2 linked regions of the Arabidopsis thaliana genome follow. The protein of the gene in region 1 purifies or fractionates together with the protein of each later gene. This does not show direct contact. Each region holds a gene or a part of one and is shown in the gene's direction. Other genes may lie near its edges. The genes, in order: CYCB2;4 and AT2G28330.

Region 1 (6,513 bases):
GGCTATGACAGCTTAGCAGAGATGGTTGTTTGTCTTTTGGCCATATGTATGATATTATAGCCTATTGAGTACCCATAAAAGATTAATCGATGATTTTGACAGCATAGTAGAAAATGCTAGTGAACCTTTGCCTTTTTAGATGTATTGTTTAGGCTACTTCTCTTCTCCCTTCTGGTTTCAGCTTGCCATGGAACATTGCCTGCATGTATGTTAGGTTCGGGTCCAATCTGTGTCGATGTGGATCCATATTGATTTTCTTCCTGGACAGGATCTCCTGCTTGAATTGCAGCTTCTTCACACCTGGCGGGATGTTTGATGGTATTAATCGTAACAGCACATTGCTTAAAAGCTTCTTTCATTGCAAACATGGCGATGTCATAACTTTCTTGGGATAGAGATCCTTCTTCTCCCAATATAATGGCTCGGCGGCATAGATCATTGAAACGGCGGATATTAGACTGCACAAGTTCAAGGTTTCTGCTGATCTGATGTCTGTTTCTAGCTGCATTTGTCCATCTTTGCAACACATAGTTTATCGGAATGGTGAAAACACCCGACATTTGGAGGACAACAATTGCGTGTCTACAGAGATATCCCTTGTACTCAAAGGAACGGCAAGAGCAGTAAATATCTGACTTAAATTCATCCCAATCCACCAAATACTTCTGTTCGTCGTCAAAGTCCTTAACACTGTAAGTTGTTCCTTCCTCACTCTCCTTCGTAAGGTGACAAGCAGCAGCACCCAGAACCTCAAGTTGGAATCTCCTGAATATTTCATGGGAGTATACAAGTAACATCTGCTTCTCAAAAGGTGATGGAGATTTCAACTCAGGTGCTTCATGCCAAGCATCAAAATCTGCTTTAGCTTCCTCTTCATACCTATCTTCTAGCATTAGCCCATATCCTTCTAAGAACTCCTTAAGTGAGGTTTCAGGGTGAACATACCTATCAAACAAAGAATTCACACTTTCTGAACGACAACGCATAGATAACCCCGCAAATGTTATTCCCCTCATAAAAGTAGGTGCCCAGAACTTACGTTCCTCATACAAAGACCGCATCCACGGAACATCTCTAAGATGAAACTTGTCTATCAGCTTCAACCACCTCCTATCGAATTCCTCCTCAGACCATGACCTGTATATACATTTGAACAACTTCTTCATAAAAGTGTCTTGCCACATACTCCAATAGTCCAGATTCCTAGGAAGCTGGTCCAACACATGCCACAAGCAATAACAATGGCGAGTTTCCGGTAAAACCGCAGCGATTGCAGCTTTAATAGCATTGTTTTGGTCAGTAAGCATAACTTTAGGTTTTTGACCACCCATAGCCACTAACCAAGATTGCATCAACCAAACATAAGTGTAAACAGTATCATCTGCAAGCAATCCACACCCAAGCAACACAGGTTGTACATGATGATTAACTCCAACAAAAAGAACTAGTGGTACTTTATACTTACTCACGAAATAAGACGTCTCAAAAGAAACCACATCACTGAAACTTTTGTAATCTTCAATCCCTTTAGCATCAACCCAGAACACATTCCTCAGAAGATGATCTTCACTGAAATCAACAGCGAAAAAAAACTTGGGATTCTCTTCTTGCATACGCATAAGAAACTCAAGCAAAATCTCTGCATCACCAGTATCAAGAACAAGTCTCCGTCCTTTATCATGTTGATTCCTCATATAACCATCTATAAAATCAAGATCATGATAAGCACTGAGATGTTTACAATCAGTCAACGGAGTGTTCTTCTTCCTCCTGAGACGAGAATCGTTGGATTTCACAAGCTCTGTGTTTCTATGGCTCCGGAAATAATGAGCTTGCTCTGGTAAAAGATCGTGATTATGCTCCTTGACGAAACTGTAAACGTACCATTTCCCATCTGGTCTTCGTTTTACATGCATACTTGCTTTGCATCCGATCTTAGGAGAAGCTCTAGGGTTTATCGCGTCATCGGATTGTTGTTTGCTTCCGTAGCGTATGCAGGAGAATTTGGCATCGATGAATTCCTTTGAAGCTCTTGATCTTCGGCTGCTTAATTTCGCAGTTCCGAAACCAACGGACTTGGCGTAGTCTTTGTAGAACAAATACGCATCTTCGTGAGTCTCGAACTCCATTTGAGAAGCTTGATGAATCCACACCAAAATTTCGATACAGATCGGTGACTATAACATGAGAAATCGATTGAGTAACATAAATCACGAATCACAGAACTGATTCATCTTCACCGGAATTGTTTTTGAAAGATCCGGAGAAACTCTGAGGAGAGTATAACATTCGACGAGAAGTTGAAAGAGACTTGCGATTGCAAATCTGATGATATATTGGGCCTAACTCTCTAATCAGGATATTGGGCCGTATTGGGTAATTCAGTTTGTACTTTGACTTATTTTCAACCTTTTTGGAAAATGTGTTGACTAACAAAGCTACTGGAGAAAAAGATGTAAAGAGGAAAAAGCAAAAAGGCGAAGAGCCGTTAGTCTAAGGTTTAAAGATTTAAATCATCTACTAGCTTGAGTATTAAAAATCAGAATCGGGTAAAATTAAAATTTATCAGATTGGGTTAATAATAATGTGGTCTAAGTTTTGTTTTTTGTTTTGGGGTCAAATCGACTGGTATTAATATTTAGATTGGCTTAATAATGAGGAAGCGGTTGGTGGTCGGTGACATTGAAATAAAACATTGACCATTGGACCTTTGAGACTTGAGCGTGGTAGTAATAAGTAATAACGAAGAAAATAAGCCAAATTTGAAAAACGCACATGGTTACAAATATAGCCGTTGGGCTCCTATTCTCTTTTTCCATTAGGTTTTTTTTCTGAGGTTGTATCCAACGGTTAAGATTAACTAGCCGTTGATTCTAAAAAGGGGAAAAAAAGATAACGATTCGTAAAACAACATTTTTTTTTTGGTGTGTTGCAGACATATATCCGCTCTTCACGTCTTCGAAATCTTTGATTACTCTCTCTACAGTCTCTTTTACCACTTTTTCTTCAATTTTGTTTTCGTTGTGAGAGAAAGAAGATAAAGAGAGAGACTCTTGAAGATCATTGAAGAGAGCCAGAGGTTGATTTGTGTTTGCTGTTATGGGATTTTGCTTCTGAGTTCTGACAGAGAGATAGAGATAGAGAGAGGTTAATAGTTTCGTTGAAAGCTTCAAGGTAAATACTTTAGTGTTGATTTCATATGGGTTTAAGAGAGTACATCTTGTTCTTGATCGTCGAGTCTTTTAGATTCTCAAATCGGATTCAAGACCCAATTTTTAATTCGGATTGTTAATATGCGAGTGTTTCTGCGATTCTCAGATACGGAAGATAATAATGGGTGGATCGGATGAGAACAGACACGGAGTCATTGGACCGATGAATCGACAACAAGGTAGATCAGAATTAAAAACAAGAAGACCCATTTAATCAAAAATCAATCTTTTGTTTGATTAACTAAAAAGATGATTTTGCCAATGTTAGGGGGTTTACGTGGAGGAAAGGTAATTCCGACGAATGGACAGACAAGAAGGGCACTGAGTAATATAAACAAGAACATCATCGGAGCTCCGGTCTATCCTTGTGCTGTCAAGAGACCATTCACTGAGTAATTATATTTTTATTACTTTCTTCTTTCAATGATCCTTTAATAAAAACGTTGCATAGACTTATCTTAGTAACCAATTGTTTTCTCAGGAAAAATGGGATTTGTAACAAGAAGATTCCACCTGTTCCAGTGCATCGACCAGTTACTAGGTGAGTGATTTCATTTGATTTCTGCTTCGATTTCAAAATTGTAGTATGAGTTTGTTTAATTCTTTATTTAATTTCAGGAAATTTGCTGCTCAATTAGCTGAGAACAATCTCCAAATCCACAAGGAGGTACCTTTATATTGATTCTATCTGAATTTAGTATTTGAAAACATGACATGGTTTAGGTTGTCTAATTCCAAGTGGTTTTTTTGTGGTTAGGAAACCAAGAAACCAGACTTGATTTCAAACGAAGCATTAGATAGAATCATAACAGATGTGGAAGAAGGAGACTTTAATGAACCAATGTTTGTTCAACATACTGAAGCAATGCTTGAAGAGATTGACAAAATGGTAATAATAATAACATGTTTTATTTAAGCCACTATTTTTTGTTGGTTACTCGGATGAAGAAACCTGTTGTCTTTATTCTGCAGGAAGGGATTGAAATGCAAGATTCAAATGATATTGATGCTGAAGTAGAAGAGTCTGTGATGGATATAGACAGCTGTGACAAGAACAATCCTTTATCTGTAGTTGAATACATTAATGACATATATTGCTTCTACAAGAAAAATGAGGTAACTTTTAGTGTTCTGTTTCTGTATCATTATGATCATTCTAGCTTCAAGATTGAAACTTTTTCAATTATTTTGCAGTGTCGTAGCTGTGTCCCGCCTAACTACATGGAGAATCAACATGACATTAACGAGAGGATGAGAGGAATCCTTTTTGATTGGTTGATTGAGGTATATATATATACACACACAAAAACATGAACATAAAATTGCTCTGTTGTTGGTAGTTGTCTCACTGTAAAGCTTACTGTGAATCTTTGTTGCAGGTACATTACAAGTTTGAGCTGATGGAGGAGACGCTTTACCTGACAATCAATCTCATTGACAGATTTCTTGCGGTTCATCAACATATCGCGAGGAAAAAGCTTCAGCTTGTGGGTGTAACAGCTATGTTACTTGCTTGCAAATATGAAGAAGTTTCAGTTCCAGTTGTTGATGATCTAATCCTGATCTCTGACAAGGCTTATACTAGGACAGAGATTCTTGATATGGTAAAATCCTTCACTAAATCTTGTCCTGATTATAACCATGGATGCTCTGCTTTATATGTGGATGATCATTATTGTGTCTTGCAGGAGAAGTTAATGGCGAATACCTTGCAATTCAATTTCTGTCTGCCAACTCCATATGTGTTCATGAGACGGTTTCTCAAAGCTGCACAATCTGACAAAAAGGTTTGTGTAACTTTGATGATAATCTTCTGTCTTATGTGATATATAAAGAATCAAAACATGATCATAAGGTTTGGTTTTTCAGCTTGAGCTTTTATCATTCTTCATGATCGAGCTTTGTTTAGTGGAGTACGAGATGCTTCAGTACACTCCTTCTCAGTTGGCTGCATCGGCGATCTACACTGCTCAGAGCACACTTAAAGGATACGAGGATTGGAGCAAAACCAGTGAGTTCCACTCAGGCTACACCGAAGAAGCGCTTCTGTAAGAACATCAAAACTAAGTAGCTTTTTCTACTGATATAATTTGGAATTTCTAAAAGTGTTGTTGAGTTTTGATGATCAATCTCTCACAGGGAATGTTCGAGAAAGATGGTTGGTTTGCATCACAAGGCAGGGACAGGGAAGCTAACAGGTGTTCACAGGAAATACAACACATCCAAATTTGGTTATGCTGCAAGAATTGAACCAGCTGGGTTTCTTCTGCTGTGATTCAACTGTTAAAATTAGGTCACACGGAATCTATAATGACTTGACCTAATTTTATCACTGAAGAGAGAGCAACATAAGTTGCATCATATGGGGGGGAAGTTTCTGAACACGTACGTATCTCTGTGTGGGTTCACTTGTTTGTTTTCGAAATATCTGTGGATGGTTTAGTCTTCTCATTTTCGTTGATAAGAGAATAACAGAAAGCGTTTTTTAAAACTCTTAACTTTTTAGGGTTCTTCATTTCAACATATTTTTCCGCTCTTCTTTCCAAATGTCCAAGTCATATCTTATCACTCACAATCACAAGTTCACAACATTTGTCGCGAAAATAAATTAGGCTTCTGGTTTTGTGGACATAATCACTTTGATCTCTTGACTTGGTCGTTCAAGTCGCTAAATTTCTTGAAAAAAACAAGAACCAGTCGATTTTACAACTACCTATGCTGAAGCCGCTCGGGCCGCGGTCCAGTCATGGTGGCCGAAACTAAACCATGAAATCGCGGTTGCCGCTTTTTACCATTACCTATGTCGAATGTTTTATTTCCTACTACAACTCAAGTGTCTTCTCCGTTTTTATCCGACCATCTTTATCAGATTAATAAACGAATGAATATAATAAATGGATAAAAACGACCGCTTTTAGAAAACCATCATTTTATGATTTCTGATTTCTACCAAGATTAAAAAGACGAATCATTCATTATAGAAATTTGAATCGTGCTATATTATACATAAGATGTGGGAAGTCTCTCAATGACCACATTAACAAAACATGTCAATTTTTCAAACATCTTAGTAACCCAAAACACAGAACTAGTTCCTCTTTCTCTCTTCCCTCCATGTCTTAGAGATTTTACTTGCTGTGTACCTTAAATGCATAAGTGACGAGCTGAAGATGGCGGATTCTCATGGATACTGCAGAGAATGTCTCACGAGCCGAAGCTACATTACGAGGGTTAACTAAACTATCTCCTCACAGGTGGCACAGCCCCTCTTCCTCCTCCTGTTCCACGCCCAGTACCCTGA
Region 2 (6,429 bases), on another chromosome or scaffold:
CGGTAGACCCTTGAAGTCCTCTTCAGGTAACCACAAATCGTTATTCATTTGTCACCCACTGTACAAAAAATCATAGACAAGATATAGAAAAAAACATAAACATATGGTATAAGAGTAAGAAAGCAAAGCTAAGTTTCAGAGATTTCAATTGAATATAAATGCGAAAATCGACATCAACTCGTGAATTGATTAATAACAACGGTCTCGTTGAGTGAGAATAAACATAAAATATGAAGACTACAGTTTCCATTAGCTCACTTAATATGTTGACTCAAAAGTAAACAACATAAACATATAAAAGCAAGAAAGCCAAGTCAAGTAACAACTAGCAAATATCATTTTCAGAGATTTCAACTGAATAAGAATGCGAAAATTGACATAAACCCGTGAATTCACTAATAACAATTAATTAAGAACTGTTTGGTCAAATGAGTATACCTAAAATATGAAGTATGACTATATTCAATTACCATTAGCTCACTCAATATATTGACTCAATCACGTACCAGAACATAAATTGAAAAAGATTCATTTTGAGTCAATATTTCTCTATAATTTTTAATTTATTCTTACAGATATTGCTGAGAAATTTAAGGTAAGAAACATAGAAAATTTCTTCATTTTTTAAAAAAATATTCATTTCATCATTGAATTCAATCTCATCTCGAGAAATCATAAGAACAATCTCCCTTTAACATTTTAGGGCACACAACTAAACAACAAAACGCCAGATAAGAAGAATCAAAACAAAGAACAGATCATGTTCTTCTTACATATGTATCACGAGATAAGAAGAATCGAAACAAAGAACAAATCATCTTCTTCTTACAGTTGTATTATTGTCTCATAATAAAAACTAAAAACAAAAAATCTCCATTTGAAGAAGGAAAAGAAGAGGGTGAGATAAAGACACACGAACCTTCCGAGAACGCAGCTGACTACACAGAACACATTCCCAAGCACGAACGAGGAAAAAGAGAGAGAGAGAGAAAGAGAGAGTAATTTGTCCGAAACTGGAGATTTAGGGATTTTACACAGAACATGAAATAGAGAGAGAGAGAGAGATAACCAATGTGTGGTAATCTACATGGAATTTGCAGTATGTCATCTTTACTAATAAACCTTGTTTGGGAAAAATGAATTTCTAAATTTTATATTATAAAATTTGCAAATCATTTTATATGTATGAAAGGAAATAACTTCTGTCATTCTAAATTGGACAAAGATTAATGGTGGGATTTCTATTCAAAGGATATATATATTAAGCAATTAATTAAAAAAAAGATTTTATACAAAACTTTTTCTGTATTTCATACAAGTTTTTAATATATACCTATTATTTCTTATCAGAGGAAAAACAAAAAGAAACAAAATACAGCTATTATTATCAAAACTTATCTGTAACATTGATATTTTCACTAATGATTTAGGTTCAAAAATATTATAAGCTAATCAAATTTCATCACAATATGTATAAGTGATAATAAAAAATTACAATATATCTAAGAAACTCAACAGAAATTTAGTAATTTTTTAACTTACTTCTTTTTATTGTTGTTTGAATCATAGTATTTTATAATTTAGAAATATAATAAATTAGTATTCTTTAATTAAATGAAACATTTACCTTGAAATTAACTATGATATGAGATTTTATTTGTAAGAGTTTAAGAAATTACAATTGGGGGTTATAATTCACTACCAGAAAACTATCACACTTTTTGGTTATTAGAAAATGCACAAACTAATTTCGCCAGGAAAAAAAAATAGATTGTGTTTTTTATTTCTTCTGAGTTCCTTCATTTCCGTAACGGTTGTTAATGGCGTTAACCAAATCTTCAAACGGTGTTCACTTTATTTACAGAAAAATCCTTTAAAAAACTGCTTATTAAATATTTGCCAAAAATACCTGAATTGTTATGTTGTTAAAAAAATATCTATTTGTCCAACAAAATATATATATATATATATTAATTAATTTACCCAAACCGACATATAATCTCATTTAATTACAAAATCTGAACCTTAATCTTTTTTTATAAACCTAAAACGATATTTAATCTTATTTAATTGTAAAATCTAAACCCTAATCGTTTTTTACAAACACAAATTAACATTTAACCTCGTTTAATTGTTAAATTTAAATCCGTTATAAATTTATACAAATATTTAACTTCAATTAATTGTAATACCTAAACTTCACCGTCTTTTGTAACTTCAAACAGATTTTAGTGGCATATTAGATTTTAAATTTTTATTAGGTTTAGATTTTGATTAGTTAGAAAAGGAGAGATGAATAAATGATTCACTGCTAAAGGTGAACCCAAATATTTTTAGATAAATAAAGATGGCCAAAAAGGAGATTTACTCTTTATAAAAATTCAAAATCGACTTGAGATATATCTAATCTGATGCGATCACCAATAAATTAAACAAATTAAGAAGAATTGAATTGTTTCTTTGTAATGTCGAATCTCATCATATGGTTCCAACTTCCAACTTTCAATAAATCCAACTTCTGCCAACTACATTGTTTCTAGATAAATCTCAAATCGATTTTGAGTTTACAAATGAGGTTAAATCTTTTTTTTTTTGTGTATCCATTTATTTTGTTTCAAATAGATTCTTTTGTTCTCAAAACAAGATTATTTTTCAAATTTTTTTTTTTAATTTAACAAGAATTGATTTCCTTATAACATTTTTGTATACGTGTCCATTTTACCGATCCTCAAATTTTACTTGAAAATTTTTCTCCTGAGAAAAAAATAAGAACCGGACACAACAAACACAAATCAGTTGTCCGTCATAGGCGAGAACTCCAAAGTCTCTTTAAGAAATGGATGTTAACGGATAACCGTCAGATCTGAAATCGAAAACAATCAAACGGCTAAGATTCACTTAATTTTATCTTTCTCATTTTCCAGTAATATTATAAATACCAAAAATCCCTAAAAAATGGCGCAAACCAAAAGCAAGAGCCGTCACTCTCTTCTTCTTCTTCCTCGTCCTTTACCCTCTGCAAAAAAATTCACTAAATTTAGATACGTTTGTTATTAGATTCGATTTTTATTCTCTGCTTAGATCTCGTGAATCCAAATGGAGCAAGAAGAACCATGTGAAGCGAAAGAAACAGCTTCTTCTTCGATAGAGCCGAAAACACCAAACCCTAATGTCCCAGATTCGATTCCTGCCATTGATTCCGATTCTTCTCTTTCGGAAGAAGAAATAGTTACAGAGAAAGACAGAGGAATCGTCACTTTGTCTCCACTGTGTAAACAGAGGATTGATTCTGCTTCGATCTCGGATTGTGTTTTGGTATCTGATGACGAAATTATAGAGTCTCTTTATCAGAATCTGTTGAGAGTTATTCTCTCATTGCAGCAGATTCAAAGTGTAGCTGTTGTTCCTGAGATTTGGTGTTTTGATGGTTGTAAAACACCGCCTCCTTCGTCTCGGAATCTCGATTCGAATATGGTTAGTGATACTTGTCCTGGAGCTCCTATGAAGCTCACTAAGATATCTAGGAATATTGATTCTGGATTAAGAAGAAAACTCTTCTGAGTCTTGAGTATCTGACATGGAGTTAAACTGACATGACTTGTCGTTGTGTTGTAGTAAGCTATAAGAGATTTAGGGGTTTTTTAAACTCTTATGGCTCTTGTGATTTGACTTTTGTTTGTACAGTCTTGTTAGGCTTTTTATGTGTAATTGCTAGCTAAAGCTAGTTGTTGTTGTTGGAGACATTCAGTTTCTGTTCTTTCTTTCTTGTCTGTAATTTATCATGTTCATGTTTCCTAAGAACTTATGTATGGTAAGGAATCTTTAGAGGTATTATCTTTGTTGATATGTCAGAGCTTTGTTGGGTGTGCTCCTTTATTGATTGGTGTTTGTAGAAGGTTACCACTGAATCAATATCTTTGCTCTACAAGTGAAACTTTGTTGTGGGATAAGGTTGTGCATAGATCAGGCAAATCGGAGCTATGAAGCAAATAGTGCAGGGTTTCGTCCATTTAGACCAGTCTTTCGTGTGCATTTGGGTGATGGTGGAAGCCAAAACCGAAACTCAGAAAGTACTGAAGCTAGAAAATCAATGCTTAACATGGAGTTGTAACAAATAAATCTGTGTTTAATATATAAAAGAACTAAGTCTATAGGTCTATACAAAGGACTTCAGCAGTATCACCAAGATCTTATCAATGGAGTTGTTGCATAAGAAGCGCCTAACTGTGTCTACCACACATTCAATAGAATTTCAAAGAATAGTTTATCTGAACTTTTGATCTTTGCTTGGTCTTTCATGGAATAATTGAAATTGCTTTGGAAGCGTCGAGATGGTTAAACCGACATGTTCCAAGAAGATATTCTGGGAGCTCCTCTTCGGTATTCGCCTGCACAAAGAAGAAATTGCTCACTCAAATCCAATGCTTCAATATGTAACCAGAATACCCACCGAAGTTGACTTAGATTTAAACCAGGAAAGATTGGTAATTAGTTTACCTGTATTAAGAAGGCCATTTCAATCACGAGTTTGTTGAGGTAACCAAGAACAAGACTCACAACTCCTCTTGCAACAGTTGATGACCCAATATCAACGCCCAGCTGAAAATAACAGGTGTACAAAAAAATAAGATTTTCTAACAATGCGTGGCTCAAACGTGAAAAGTCACACTGTTGTGGTAGATAGATACTAATTCCTGTTAGGATCTAGCATCAATCCTTACTGTGTTACCTCAATATAGTTCTTTCCCCTGAAGTAGTTGATCTCCAGGGCTTGACCAATAAGGCATGCTTTCTTTCCCACACTTTGCTTAACTATCCAAGAGCCCTGAAAATATCGCCAAACCAAAAGTCAGGTATGAATGCATTGGACAGACAAATAATAAAACTAAATAGAGGTAATCTTTTACGCCAACCTTGGATATGTAGGGAATGAGCTTGAACCTTGAATTCCTATATGCGTCATCACCATTAACAAAGCTAACTAGCAAAGGATGCTCTTCAATAGGAGTGCTCATCATGTAATAAAGCACAAGGCTGTACGTTGTTGATCCAGGAACCTATTATTCCATCGAACAACTAATTGATTCTTTTACGGACACATGGAAAAGCTGAATAAAAAAACATTGGTCACAGGAGTGTCCTCTTACCTGTATATTCACGATGAAAAAGAACTCTGGTCCACCTTTTGCTGCATATTTCTGCATTTTAAAAACTTGTAAGACTTCTTATAAAAAGTAAGAGAGGGGCTAATAACTATCAGAACAAACAATAATAATCAAAACCTGAACTATGCCTCCTGGACGGGACCCCAAATCATCTTCCCGCTTGTCAGATTTTAGCCAGTCTGCAGCTACCATTTCCATCAGTGTACCCTTTGCCTTGACCTGGATCCACCACAAGAGAATGTTTACAAATTGAGTAATATTATACATATTGATATATTCAAGCACAAGTTATGAGCTTTTCTTTACCTTCTTCTGGTCATCAAGATAAGTTTTTCCTCGAATGAGAAAAGTAGATGGGTCCGTTGTTGTCCAACTACAAGGCAAATCACAACTAGGATCAGTTGGAAGCGTGGTTCCATAGCAGCAAGGCGGGTTGCAGGTAGCATGTGGGCTGCTCTCTTCCTTCGCCCTCTCATGCAGGTCAACATAACCCCTCTTTTGAACTGCTCGAGAAAAAAATTATAACCATTAAAAGACAGGTGAAACTAGAGAAGAAGAAAACAGAATGAGAAGACACAACTAATAAGAGCAGAATTTCTCCATGAAACTTAGGATCACCTGCAAGATCGTGTAATTTTTTCACTAAGCTCGTAGCGCTATTTAGTTTTGGCTGGCGGGATTCCTGCAGTCGGCAAACAGAAAATCAGAACTGTTATCTTTCCGAGCAAATTAAAGTCCTGTCTGATGTTGCTACCTGACAGCATGTATCCAAATCAAAATCTGAGGTCCAGCTGTCATCCAAATTGTCATTATCTGATGGTTCTGGAACGTCGAAAAACTCATCCAAGTCTACAAGGCTAGAGCGCTCTGAGGGAAATTTGTCTCTCTCTTCATTTGCAGTGTCCTTAAACATTTCGTTTTCCCTCAGGGAAGAATCACCAAACACACCATCTTCGTTCTGAGTCAATCTTGCACTTCTTGACAACTCCCCTGACGACAGATTAGGAGGAAAGCTTCCGTGCTTTGCCCTAAAAAGCTCTCTCAGGGCTGATTCAACCAACAAGGATGTTATGATAAAAGAAAAGTGCTTAAACTGAGAAATTTTCCTTTAAGAGAATTGGCAACTACCAGAAATTCTTCCAAGCATTTTCACGGTAATAGATCTAGCTAAGGACGGCTTCACATAAGATCTCCAGGACTTCCAATCAACAGCAAGCATGTGCTTCACAACTGATTGTTTTCCGTTGTCTATGGGAGAAATCAC

The links.
Region 2: the proteins of CYCB2;4 (region 1) and AT2G28330 purify together in Arabidopsis thaliana (affinity purification with mass spectrometry, with the first as the bait; one large-scale study listed by BioGRID). This does not show direct contact.

The regions. Positions count from the first base shown.
Region 1 is NC_003070.9:28,627,020-28,633,532, reverse strand, and holds CYCB2;4 (CYCLIN B2;4), read left to right. Parts: upstream 1-2,986; 5' UTR 2,987-3,174; intron 3,175-3,318; 5' UTR 3,319-3,333; coding exon 3,334-3,391; intron 3,392-3,480; coding exon 3,481-3,604; intron 3,605-3,693; coding exon 3,694-3,753; intron 3,754-3,830; coding exon 3,831-3,879; intron 3,880-3,969; coding exon 3,970-4,101; intron 4,102-4,184; coding exon 4,185-4,328; intron 4,329-4,406; coding exon 4,407-4,496; intron 4,497-4,591; coding exon 4,592-4,999; coding exon of another isoform or gene 5,000-5,038; exon of another isoform or gene 5,039-5,055; intron 5,056-5,081; coding exon 5,082-5,260; coding exon of another isoform or gene 5,261-5,264; exon of another isoform or gene 5,265-5,351; coding exon 5,352-5,487; 3' UTR 5,488-5,730; downstream 5,731-6,513. Other genes in the region: FRS4 (FAR1-related sequence 4), read right to left, coding at 126-2,129; snRNP core protein SMD3, read right to left, coding at 6,453-6,509.
Region 2 is NC_003071.7:12,097,291-12,103,719, reverse strand, and holds AT2G28330 (uncharacterized protein), read left to right. Parts: upstream 1-2,962; 5' UTR 2,963-3,096; coding exon 3,097-3,561; 3' UTR 3,562-3,978; downstream 3,979-6,429. Other genes in the region: GATA13 (GATA transcription factor 13), read right to left, coding at 1-48; AT2G28320 (Pleckstrin homology (PH) and lipid-binding START domains-containing protein), read right to left, coding at 4,296-4,388, 4,498-4,599, 4,730-4,825, 4,914-5,057, 5,148-5,198, 5,283-5,384, 5,472-5,668, 5,784-5,847 and 2 more. UniProt on the Arabidopsis thaliana protein: Probable cyclin-dependent protein kinase (CDK) inhibitor that functions as a repressor of mitosis in the endoreduplication cell cycle.